Linked DNA regions of Oryctolagus cuniculus. The protein of the gene in region 2 purifies or fractionates together with the protein of the main gene of each other region. This does not show direct contact. Links are inferred from orthologs where the notes say so. Each region holds a gene or a part of one and is shown on either strand. Other genes may lie near its edges. The genes, in order: ARID4A, SINHCAF and SAP30L.

Region 1 (3,749 bases), on a different chromosome or scaffold from region 2:
AACAAGAAAAAAAATTTCTATGTCAGATTTTTCAGTACTGGTGCTAGGAACTAGGAGGCAACATGGATCCAGCAAGCAAGGAAGATAATGAAGGGGACTGACTCTCAAGGTGACGGTTAATAAGAGCTGTGGGGTAACACTCGCATGGCAGGAATAGGGAGAAACAGGATAGAAGGGCTCCAGGAAGGCTGTCTCTGAAAAAAATGGAAGGGCCTTGGCCACTGTGGCCATCTGGGGAGTGAACCAACAAATGGAAGGCCTCTCTCTCCCTGTCTCCCCCAAGCCCCCATCTCTCTAACTCTTAAATTAAAAAAATCTTTTTAGAAAGATGATGACAGGGCTGGTGGGCATTTGGCCTAGCTGTTGAAAGTGGTTAGAGAACCTGCATCCCATATAGGATGCCTGGGTTTGACCCCTAGTACCAGCTCCTGTTTCCAGCTTCCTACTAATGCAGACCCCGGGAAGCAGCCGTGATAACTCAAGTGGTTTGGTTCCTGCCACCCACCTGGGAGACCTGGATTGAATTCCCGAATTGCAGCTTGGGCTTCCCAGCCCTGGCCATTGTGGGCATTTGGGGAATGTGGGGAATGATCCAACAGATGGGAGCTGGAATACATGCGTTCGTTCGTTCTCTCTCTCTCTCTCTCTCTCTCTCTCTCTCTCTCTCTCTCTCTAATACATAAAAGGTAAATTGCTTGACAGGCCTAACCAGGCGTATTTCGGGGATGAGTTACTGATAGAGTGACATGTAGCAGATGTGGTCTTCAATCATTCTACTACACATCCAGTGGTCTTTATTTAATTGCAAGAAATAAGATGGAGCAGATAAAAAATGATCAGGCGTCCCATGTTTGTCCTTTACAAGTTTTTGTTTGTTTTTTAAATAACCAGAAGTCTTCCTAGGACTTTTAAACACAAAAAAGAAGAAAAGAGCAAATTAACAAATTGAGATTTCTTCAGAGAATCCTCAACTGCTTTGGGGTTTATTTCTTTAAAGTTTTAGACAACAAAAAGCGTTCTTCTAATAGGCTTCCTCTTTTGGTTTCCTTTTTTGTAGTGGATGTTACATTGAAAGAGTTCTAGCATACGTATAGGAATTTGTCTTCTTGGAAGCCACACCCACAGATATACATCAACAAAGTTAAAACTTTACATAACTGGGAATGTTTGAGTAAAGATTGACAAGAGACAGGAGTGTGTTTTGAGGAAAGACAAGATAAGGGGTGGTTCTGTGGCATAGTAGGCTAAGCCTCCACCTGCGGTGCCAGCATCCCACATGGGCACCGGTTCTACTCCCAGCTGCTCCTATTCCAAACCAGCTCTTTGCTGTGGCCTGGGAAGGCAGTGCAAGATGGCCCAGGTAATTGGGCCCTGCACCGGTGTGGGAGACCCAGAAGAAGCTCCTGACTCCTGGCTTCGGATCAGCCCAGCTCCAGCTGTTGCAGCCATTTGTAGAGTGAACTAGAGGGTGGAAGACTTCTGTCTCTCCCTCTTTCTTGTCTCTAATTCTGCCTGTCAAATAAAATCTTTAAGAAAAAAAAATGATAAAAGCAGAAACTACAAAATGACAAAGTCCACAACACATAAACCCTTAGCCTGTGTTACTATTCCTGGGGAGTTACGGTAGACTTTTCAGGACTTTTTTCCTAGCCACGCACATGCACCTCCATCCTGACCACCATGGTTCCGATTCCTGACAGCAGGGGGGTTTGTCTGGGTGCATTGAGCACTCTTGGGGCCTGTGACCTCAACATAGTCAGACATTCCCTGTCGTGAGAATCTATCTCAGCTTGACCTTGTTTCTGACTTGCGGCAAGCCAGGTTCCTCACTGGGATTTTCCAAGTTGGGATTTCAGAGTTTATTGCTCTTTAAGCTTCACATTTTACAGTGTTTTTAAATTTCTTTTTTAACTTTTAAGTTGTTTAATGGAGCAAAGATGAATTGCATGCTATTGAGCCAATCAAAATGTTTGCCGAAACTTTGCTTATTTCTCATGCAACATTTAGGAGGCCCATGATTGAAATGAATGTTAAGAATTTTGTTTCCTAGTTGCTGTTGGTTAGGCATCTTGGTGTAATGGATTTTGAATCTAACACGGTTGTTTTGCTTCCACAGTGTCTCATACAGGAGCCTCCATGTCATCTGCTTCATCAGACACTGGAATGAGTCCCTCATCCTCATCACCCCCACAAAATGTACTTGCTGTAGAGTGCAGGTGATAAATGTTTCCTCTGCCTTCCCAGCTGCCATGGACATAAATCCCCAAACCCTGAGACACAACCACAGAAAGCACTCAACTGGTTTGACATTGCTAAGTATCTCCTCTATATTCTTCCAGGCTGGATCGTACCTAGTCCCTTCTTATTTCCTTTTTTCTTGTTGAAAACAAATAAGCAGATGAATAATCGAAGGTTAGGCAGCCTGCCATATTTGTCATAACTTTTCCTCTTTCTTTTTTTTTTCATTTTTTGTGATAGAGAAAAAAGGGCACTTAGCAAATTTGAATTTGTATAATAAAGCTTTCAGGTGTTATAGAAATCATAGACAAGCAAGTGCACATGATAAACATCAAAATATTATCCAGCTGAGTAGTTACCGTTGCACTTTCACTGAGATGTGTTTGAACACTTGGTGAGTAGGGGGTTTATGTTGTATTTTTTTGTTGTTGTTTTTATTTTTGTGGAAGCACTTGCTATTTAGAACTGCCAAAGTATATGTTCAGCAGTGTGCCCAGGTTTAAAGATGTAAATGGGACAAAATAAATTGTGAAAGGAAGTGTAGTTGACTGAAAACTACAGTTGTAATAAGTCTTCCACTTTTTATAGGATTTTTGAGCACACAATTATGCAAATATTTTAATGTTTATTAATGTTTACAGTGGAATTGTGAATAAGTTTTCAGTGGACTATCTTATCCCTTGACAAAAATATTTTGTCTTTTTTCTATGTAATTTCAGAGTTTTTATTTTGTTACAAAAAGACAAAAATGAAATATATAACAACAATGAAGTTATTTAACAAGATTTCTAAAGCTGAAAATTTTGTGTAAAATAAGGTATTATCTTGCAACTTGTTAAATATATTTATTCAGACATTGGATGTTGTATTTTTATGTATTTTTTAAAATATTAATAAAATTGAAAAAAAGAAAATTCTAGGTTAATTCACTCTTTGGATGGCAGTAGCTCTCAGCTGTCCCTGGCCTGGTTGAAGGGAGTCTGTCTCAGTCCTTCAAACAGTAGAGAACTATGAATGGGCATCTGGATCAGTAAAGCATGTCCTTGTTTAGAGACTTTGGCAGTCCTAGTATTTAAACTGTTTTGAGGATCAAATTTTTGGTTGCCCTTAAGATACTTTGTCACAGTTTTTATGTTTGCTGTACTGCCGAATAAATTTATATCTCCCAAAGTTGAGATGCAACAACTAAGTAAAGCAACTATGTATGCTTCGTCTGTGAATTGTTCCACAGACTGATACATTTTGTAAATAATTCTTCCAAAATCATGTATTTAAGCAGTTTTGCATATATCTTATGTAAAAAAAAGTGATTTTTTAAAAGCGATTTTTAAATTCATGTTTGTACATTGAAGGGGTTTTTTTTTAAACCTCCTTTTCTGTGTTTAATATGCTGTAGAGTAATAATCTAGATGCTCTAGACTGTATATCAGGATCTGATTTACAAGAACAAAGTCAGAGCTAAACACTAGTGATGACATAGCATTACTGAAATCATTGTTTCTTAATTTCAT
Region 2 (3,140 bases):
CTTAGAACCGTGTTGGTAAATGGTTGCCATCTTCCAGTCATGTTGAAGGTGTTCCTGTATCCCAGCTCTGCAGCTTAGAAAAAAACATTTTTGTTTACTCAGTGTTTAAGCACAGTAAAGCGACCTGCTGGGTCCACCTGTTCCTGGGGGGCTGGTTTTCTGTAGGAGTTGGTGAGTTTTGGAGAAAAGTTAACAGCTTGAGTGGCAGCTGAAGATGGCTGCTGTGTGTCAAACTCTCTCCGTCCTCCTTCCTCCTGGAGATGACTCCAGGGCAGGCCTGGAGGGGGTCTGGGAGGCCCCCGTCCCCTGGCTGACAGGGGTAGGGTGGGAGGACTGGGACGCCATGCTCCCGCTGGTCGGGTTACGAGGAGGAGGAGGAGGAGGAGATGCTGTTTCCCCTGGCCCCCTTGTTGATGTGTCTGCGTCTCTTTCCCTCCTCTTAGGCAGAAGATCTGCTGTGGGATCATCTACAAGGGGCGTTTTGGGGAAGTGCTCATCGACACGCACCTCTTCAAGCCTTGCTGCAACAGCAAGAAGCCGGCCGCTGAGCCCTCGCCGGCGCCCCAGGGCCCCGAGCCGCTGCCCAGGGCCCCTCAGGAGTGGTGACCGCCGCCCACGGCCCGGCGGCAGAGCAGCAGAGATTCTGCGAAGACCACGAAGCGACAAACTGACCCTCTTAACGTTTTCACTCGGATACCTGCTATTCTGCCAAAAGACAATTCCTAGACTAGTTCTGAATGGGTTCTTCCCCAGGTCCACACGTTCTGAAGCCAGTGTCTCGCTTCCTGAAAGAAAGAATGCGTGTACATAATATTGAAGATGCTGAGGATCTCATAGGAAGGCTGAATGCTGCTGTAAAGTGCTCTTTAAGTCTTTTTTTTTTTTTTTAATTAAATCCCCTTCTAATGAATGGAATTAGGGGAATTTCAGGGGACAGAGATGGGATCTGTTGTATGATAAGCCGTATGTAGTTGTAGTCTTTCTGTACTGAGAAGCAGTGGTTGGGGCAGTTTCTCATTGGCTGGCGGCCCTTGTTTTCCCTCTCGACAGCAAATTGGTGGTAACCCGGTTACAGGACCGACCCCTGGCGCTGGAATCCTGAGGTCCGGCCCAGGATCTGGGGGCTCAAACCCGTACTACTGACGACAAAGCGGGAGCGCGTCCCGGGCAGGAGACGGTAACTTCTCAGCGGAGAGAGAGGTCACTTAGCTGTATGTGTTGCATCCATGTCACCTCCCTCATGTTCATGTTTTGTCCAGGTTTTAATTTCCGCGAGGTCCCACAGCGGAGGCAGAGCTCCGCCCCGGGGAACACGGATCCCGGGTTAAACAGGCTCAGCTGGTTGAGAAACAGCGGGAAGGCACGCTGCTCTGGGGGCTCGCCTTGGGGGCTGGGGGCTACTTCGCTGCCAGTCCGGGCCGTTCCATTCGCCCCTGGCTTTTATCTCCTGTGACCTTTGCGAAGGTTTTTCCAGAGTTGAGCCGGCGTCTAACTTCTTGTAGCTGCCTAGGGCTTCTGGTTTTTTTGTTTTTTTTCTCATTATAATTAACGTAAAATTGAGTAAAAGGACAGAGGCGTGCGTGAATACTAAGATTGGCTTTGCTTTGACTTTTTAGTCTGGCTTTCTGGATCTCCAGATGTGACCGTAGGCCCTCCACTTGTGAGATCCTGGTCTTTGTAATTTTTTTTTTTTTTTTTTTTTGACAGGCAGAGTGGACAGTGAGAGAGAGAGAGAGAGAAAGGTCTTCCTTTTGCCGTTGGTTCACCCTCCAATCCTGGTCTCCCATGGGGTGCAGGGCCCAAGCACCTGGGCCATCCTCCACTGCACTCCCTGGCCACAGGAGAGAGCTGGCCTGGAAGAGGGGCAACTGGGAAAGAATCCAGCGCCCCGACCGGGACTAGAACCCGGTGTGCCGGCACCGCAAGGCAGAGGATTAGCCTAGTGAGCCGTGGCGCCGGCCAAGAGATCCTCAGTTTTAAAGCTTCTCACTTGTATCCACGCCAAAGTGTTCTCATTGCCTCTTTTCTAGAAGTCCAGGAAAAACAAAAAGCCCTGTCCGGACGCCCCCCCTGCAGAAGGAGCATCACACTTACGGTGCCGCGACTTGGCGCTTAATTTTAGAACTGGAGTTTGAGGTTTTGGGTAGCCTAACCGAGGAGTGAGCCCTGTAGTCTGCTAGCTCTTGTCTGAACATAACAGGTTGCATTTCTCCCTTGTGGGAAAAAGCCTGCCTGCTCCCGACCCCACACACCCCCGACTCCCCCTGCCTCAAAAGGGGACGCAAGGGTCCAGCTGTTATCATCCTCCATCCTGAGTTACTTCGAAATGGCTTTGTTGTTTTTCTTTTTTTGTACATGTTGGTTGCAGTACTGGTGGTAGAATATACTATAACGTGGGTCATCTCTACTTCTGTATTTATTTATTTATTGCTAGACCTCAGCCACCGTCTTCTCCCCCGCCCCCTCTCTGCCTGTAGGACGTACTGTGTGTAGTCATGCACTTTGTATTAATATATTAGACATCTACAGATCTGTTTTGTACTTTTTATACTGTTGGATACTTATAATCAAAACTTTTACTAGGGTATTGAATAAATTTAGTCTTAATAGAAAATAAAAGGGAGCTGTCTCATGGCTTTGTTCTCAGAGGTTTTTGGTAAGCAACCAGTGGTCTTGCTTTCACAAAACATCCAGCTGAGTCCTCAGTATTATCAAAGCCAGGAAGAGGAAAAAACCTCTTGGCCCACGAAAATAAAGACTTTAGAATAAAGGACATTTTACCCAAGGTGCACTGCTGTTAGCCCAGTGATATGACAGTTTGAACAAGGATGAAGCAAGCTTCCCGGGAATGTCTGTGCTGTGGATTTGCTGTTGTCTGGGATTTGATTTTCTTATTGGCAGACTGGGGAGCCTCACTGAGACTTCAGGGACCTTCATTTTATTTATTTTTCATGTTTTATTTGAAAGGCAAAGACAGACAAGATCCTTTGTCCACCAGTTCACTCCCCAGATGCCTCCAGTAGCTAGAGCTGGGCCAGGCCAAAGCCAGGAACCAGGAACCCAAGCACTTGAGCTGTCACCTGTTGCCTCTCAAGGGTATGCATTAGTAAGTAGGAAGCTGGCTCCGAGGCAGAGGAGCC
Region 3 (3,651 bases), on a different chromosome or scaffold from region 2:
TGACTCCACAACACCATCTTGAAACCAATTGTAGTGACTCCACCTGAGAACTCTGTTCCTTCGAAGCATTACCTTCTGGGAAGGCTAGTGCTAAGCTGAGGCTTGCCTCTCTCCTGGAGGGCGCCTGTGCAATGATCAACACAGGTTTTCCAGTGGGGTCAATAGCTTAACAGAGCCCTAGCTGCAGGAGCAAAATCAGGTGTGAAGGCATATCTTTCTTTTTTTTTTTAAGGACTGGGTAATATTATAAGTTGCTTAGGTAAAAGCTTCTAACATCTATAGAGAAGACAGGGAGTATTTCCAAATGGATGAATTCACTGCTGTCCCACAATTAAGCATTTCACTGACACTTGACCTAATCAGGCACCACCAAGGTGTCTAGTCAGTCCTTTGTTCCAAAATGAGTATCTTTCATTCATTCAGATTTATAATAAGAAAGCCATTAACTTACCCCAGCAGCAGATGCATTATAATGACAAACATTAAATATATTAGAGGGAGGGAGGGAAAGGCCTAGAAGAAAGGATAGGGAAGACTTTTTATGAAAGACTTAACAGCCGGCACAGTGGCTTAGCAGGTAAAGCCTCTGCCTGCAGTGCCGGCATCCCATATGGGCATTAGTTGAGTCCGGGCTGCTCCACTTCTGATCCTGCTCTCTTCTGCAGCCTTGGAAAGCAGCGGAGGATGGCCCAAGTGCTTAGGCCCTTGTACCTCTGTGGGAGACATCGAAGAAGCTCTTGGCTTCGGATTAGCCCAACTCTGGCTGTTGTGGCCATTTGGGTTGTGAACCAGCAGATGGAAGACCTCTCTCCCTTTCTCTGTTTCTGCCTCTAACTCCGTATTTCAAATAAAATAAATAAATCTTAAAAAAAAAAAAAGACTTACTGAAGAAGTGCACATGGGGCTTGGAAGTAAACTAGATAATGTATTTAAGATACAAACCAGCCTCTGTGGTGCTCTGTGTATTTGGCACCAACCCTTCCTGTATCTGGGTTTCAGTGTCAACAATAAAATCTGAAGTGGAAAAACGGGCTTCCTCTAATTTTAACAAACCGTCTCTGATTTCCCTGAACTGTAGAGGAATTCTGGCCCCAAAAGAGAACGGATATTAACCACCTAAGCTCTTAGCTAGTCTACCTGCATGTTAAAACCCCCTTAACTCATTTCCAATTCCTAAACAAGAAGCAGCCGCAGCCACTTAAGGCTTGCAGCAACAGATGTCAAACCAAAAAGTTCTTAATTGGTTGACAATAGGCACAGCTTTAGAATTGTTAACTAGAAGTGGTGAAATCACAGAGGAAAAGTTTCCTATAATTAGGCACAAGGCAGGGCAAGCCTATTCAAATTTCAATCTCCATTTCCCACCTCCGCATTCCTAAAGGCGCTACCCCAAGGAAACCGAATCTCCCCACCTCGCCCCCTCCCCCGCCCACTCCCAGTGACTTGACTGTCAGTGCCATCTCCTAAGACCTGGTCGTGGCCTTATTCCTGCCATATCCTGGAAACACCCACTCCCAGAGTCGTAGCCTGAGAGGCGATCCTCTGCGGAAAAGGAGGCCGCGGGGGACAGGGAAGTCGCTGCTGCCACCTCTCCCAGTCTGAAGAAACAGCAGCGTTCTTAGAAGGAGCCAGAAGTTGGCCAACAGCCGGGTCCCTTCATCACCCCCTCCCCGATTCTTGCACCTTCGTGGGCCAACAAAATTAACCCACCTCCTCCTGCTCGAACATCTGAGCCAATAAAACGAGCTAGAAACTGCTGTCCAATCTTCCCCGGCAGGAGGAGTCCTCGCACCCCCCGCCCCCAACCTCCCGGATCTCAACAGAATCACAGCCAGGGCAGGTCCGCGCTTCAGCGGCCTCCGAAATCCCGCGGCCAGCTCCTCGGGCTGGCAGATGAGGGGCGGCGAGGCCGGCGGTGGGGAGCGCCCGGGGCGTCCCGGCCGCGGCCCGGGGCAGCACACAGCGAGCGGCAGGGCGCGGACTCACGCTCTTGTCGATGTCCAGCTTGAGTTTCTTCTGCGAGATGCTCTTCTGCACCCTCTTGCTGAAGGAGGCGTTGCCCGCGGGCCGGACGCAGCGCTCGCCGTCCTCGATGAGGCAGCAGCTCTGGCCGTAGCCCGGGGCGGCGGCGGCGGCGGCGGCGGCAGCGGCGGCGTTGGCGGCGGAGGCTGGGGGCCCTTCGCGGCTGTCCTCCTCGGTGCTGAAGCCGTTCATCTCCCCGCCCCGCGTCGGCCCCTCTGGGGGCAGGGCCCCCTGCAGGCCACTCCGCGGCCGCGCTCCCTGCGGAGCAGGTCGCCGAGACCCCCGCACCCGAGAGTCCCAGAGTCCGTCTCCAGACCAGGGCTGCCCTGCCCCGCGTCCCAGAGGCCCTGCTCCTGCAGCTCTCGGCCCCGAGTCTACGGAAACCCCCTTCCTCCTGGCCAGAGGCCCCGGGGTCGACTCCCGCGGCTCGCAGGGCCCCGCTGGGGGTCACCCGGAGGCCCCTCTTGCTGGGAGCTCAGAACCGCTACCCTGAGGCGCGGGCGTCCGGGAGGGCGTCCCAGGAAGCGGCCGCTCCCCAGGGACTCCGGGCCGGGGTTGCCAGGGGGTTTCGAAGGCCCCTGCCGGCTCCCGCCTTCTTTGGGCAGCGGGGCAAACTCGCTGCTGGGCAGCTCTCCCCTGGTGGCGCGGCCTCCCCGCGCGGGGCCCGGCCTCGAACCCGCGGCGCCCGGGCCCCCCGCGCCGCGTCCGGCCCGCCCCACCCCTGCAGCCTCTCGGCTGCTCCCCGAGTCCCGCGGCAGCCCCTGGGCGGCCCGGCCGCCGCCCGCCCAACGCGCCGCACCACAACAGTTCTCTCCCCCCCGCCCTCTTCGGGACAGCGGAAGTCCTGCCTCCGCACGCCTATTGGTCGCATTCGCTCTCAGGGCGGGGTCGTCGCCGCCGCTGGCGCGCTCCATTGGGCACCACTGCCGCCAGTCTCCGGCGCCAGGCTACTTCCTGGACTCTGCTGGGATGGGTTCAAAGTAGAGAAAGTGGAAGAGGGAAGAGTTCCTCGGGCGAGGGAGGGGAACTAGGGCGCAGATTGCCCAGCCCCAGGGAGGAATGATGACCAAGGGTCGGGAGGGACGGAGGGCAAGACTCCGAGAGCAGCGGAATGTATTCGGAAGCCGACAGAAGTACAGACGCGGGCGGGGGCGCAGAGGGACAGGCTTGGGGGAGGGGCGTGTGCGAGGAGACCTAAAGGGGATAGCGGTCCTGTCACGAGAGGAACCTACAGGGCACAACGACAGGGCCGGGGCCAGAGTCCCCCAGACCGACGTGGGGGTGAGGAGGCGAGGACAAAACAGGACAGAAGCCAGTCATGGCGGGAAAGACAGAGGGACAGCCCCGAACAGATACATGGAAAGAGATACCAAGGAGATGAGGGGGGCGATCTTGTCGGGATCTTGGGGGTGCCGGAGACGTGAGACTGTGGAGATTGGCTGGGACGGCACGGAAAGAAAACGGGCGGGAGGAAGGAGGGCCCCGGGGGCTTGGGCGACCCCTCTACGGGAAAGAACCTGCAATCCGGGTAAGGTCCGGAGGGTGAGCCGGGTGAAGAGGGGCTGCCGAGGAGATGAAGAAATGGCTGGAAGTGGCCGACCAAGGGTCACTCCCGGGACCAGGTGAGGA

The links.
Region 1: the proteins of SINHCAF (region 2) and ARID4A purify together in Homo sapiens (affinity purification with mass spectrometry; 3 studies listed by BioGRID and IntAct, counting the BioPlex papers as one, with this or other methods). This does not show direct contact. The link is inferred for Oryctolagus cuniculus from reciprocal best matches to the Homo sapiens genes SINHCAF and ARID4A.
Region 3: the proteins of SINHCAF (region 2) and SAP30L purify together in Homo sapiens (affinity purification with mass spectrometry; 3 studies listed by BioGRID and IntAct, counting the BioPlex papers as one, with this or other methods). This does not show direct contact. The link is inferred for Oryctolagus cuniculus from reciprocal best matches to the Homo sapiens genes SINHCAF and SAP30L.

What each region holds. Positions count from the first base shown.
Region 1 is NC_091443.1:18,443,853-18,447,601, reverse strand, and holds part of ARID4A (AT-rich interactive domain-containing protein 4A), read left to right. Parts: intron 1-2,116; coding exon 2,117-2,220; 3' UTR 2,221-3,749.
Region 2 is NC_091440.1:127,575,014-127,578,153, reverse strand, and holds the end of SINHCAF (SIN3-HDAC complex-associated factor), read left to right. Parts: intron 1-443; coding exon 444-606; 3' UTR 607-2,619; downstream 2,620-3,140. UniProt on the Homo sapiens protein: Subunit of the Sin3 deacetylase complex (Sin3/HDAC), this subunit is important for the repression of genes encoding components of the TGF-beta signaling pathway.
Region 3 is NC_091437.1:41,395,521-41,399,171, reverse strand, and holds the start of SAP30L (histone deacetylase complex subunit SAP30L), read right to left. Parts: upstream 2,839-3,651; 5' UTR 2,215-2,838; coding exon 1,987-2,214; intron 1-1,986.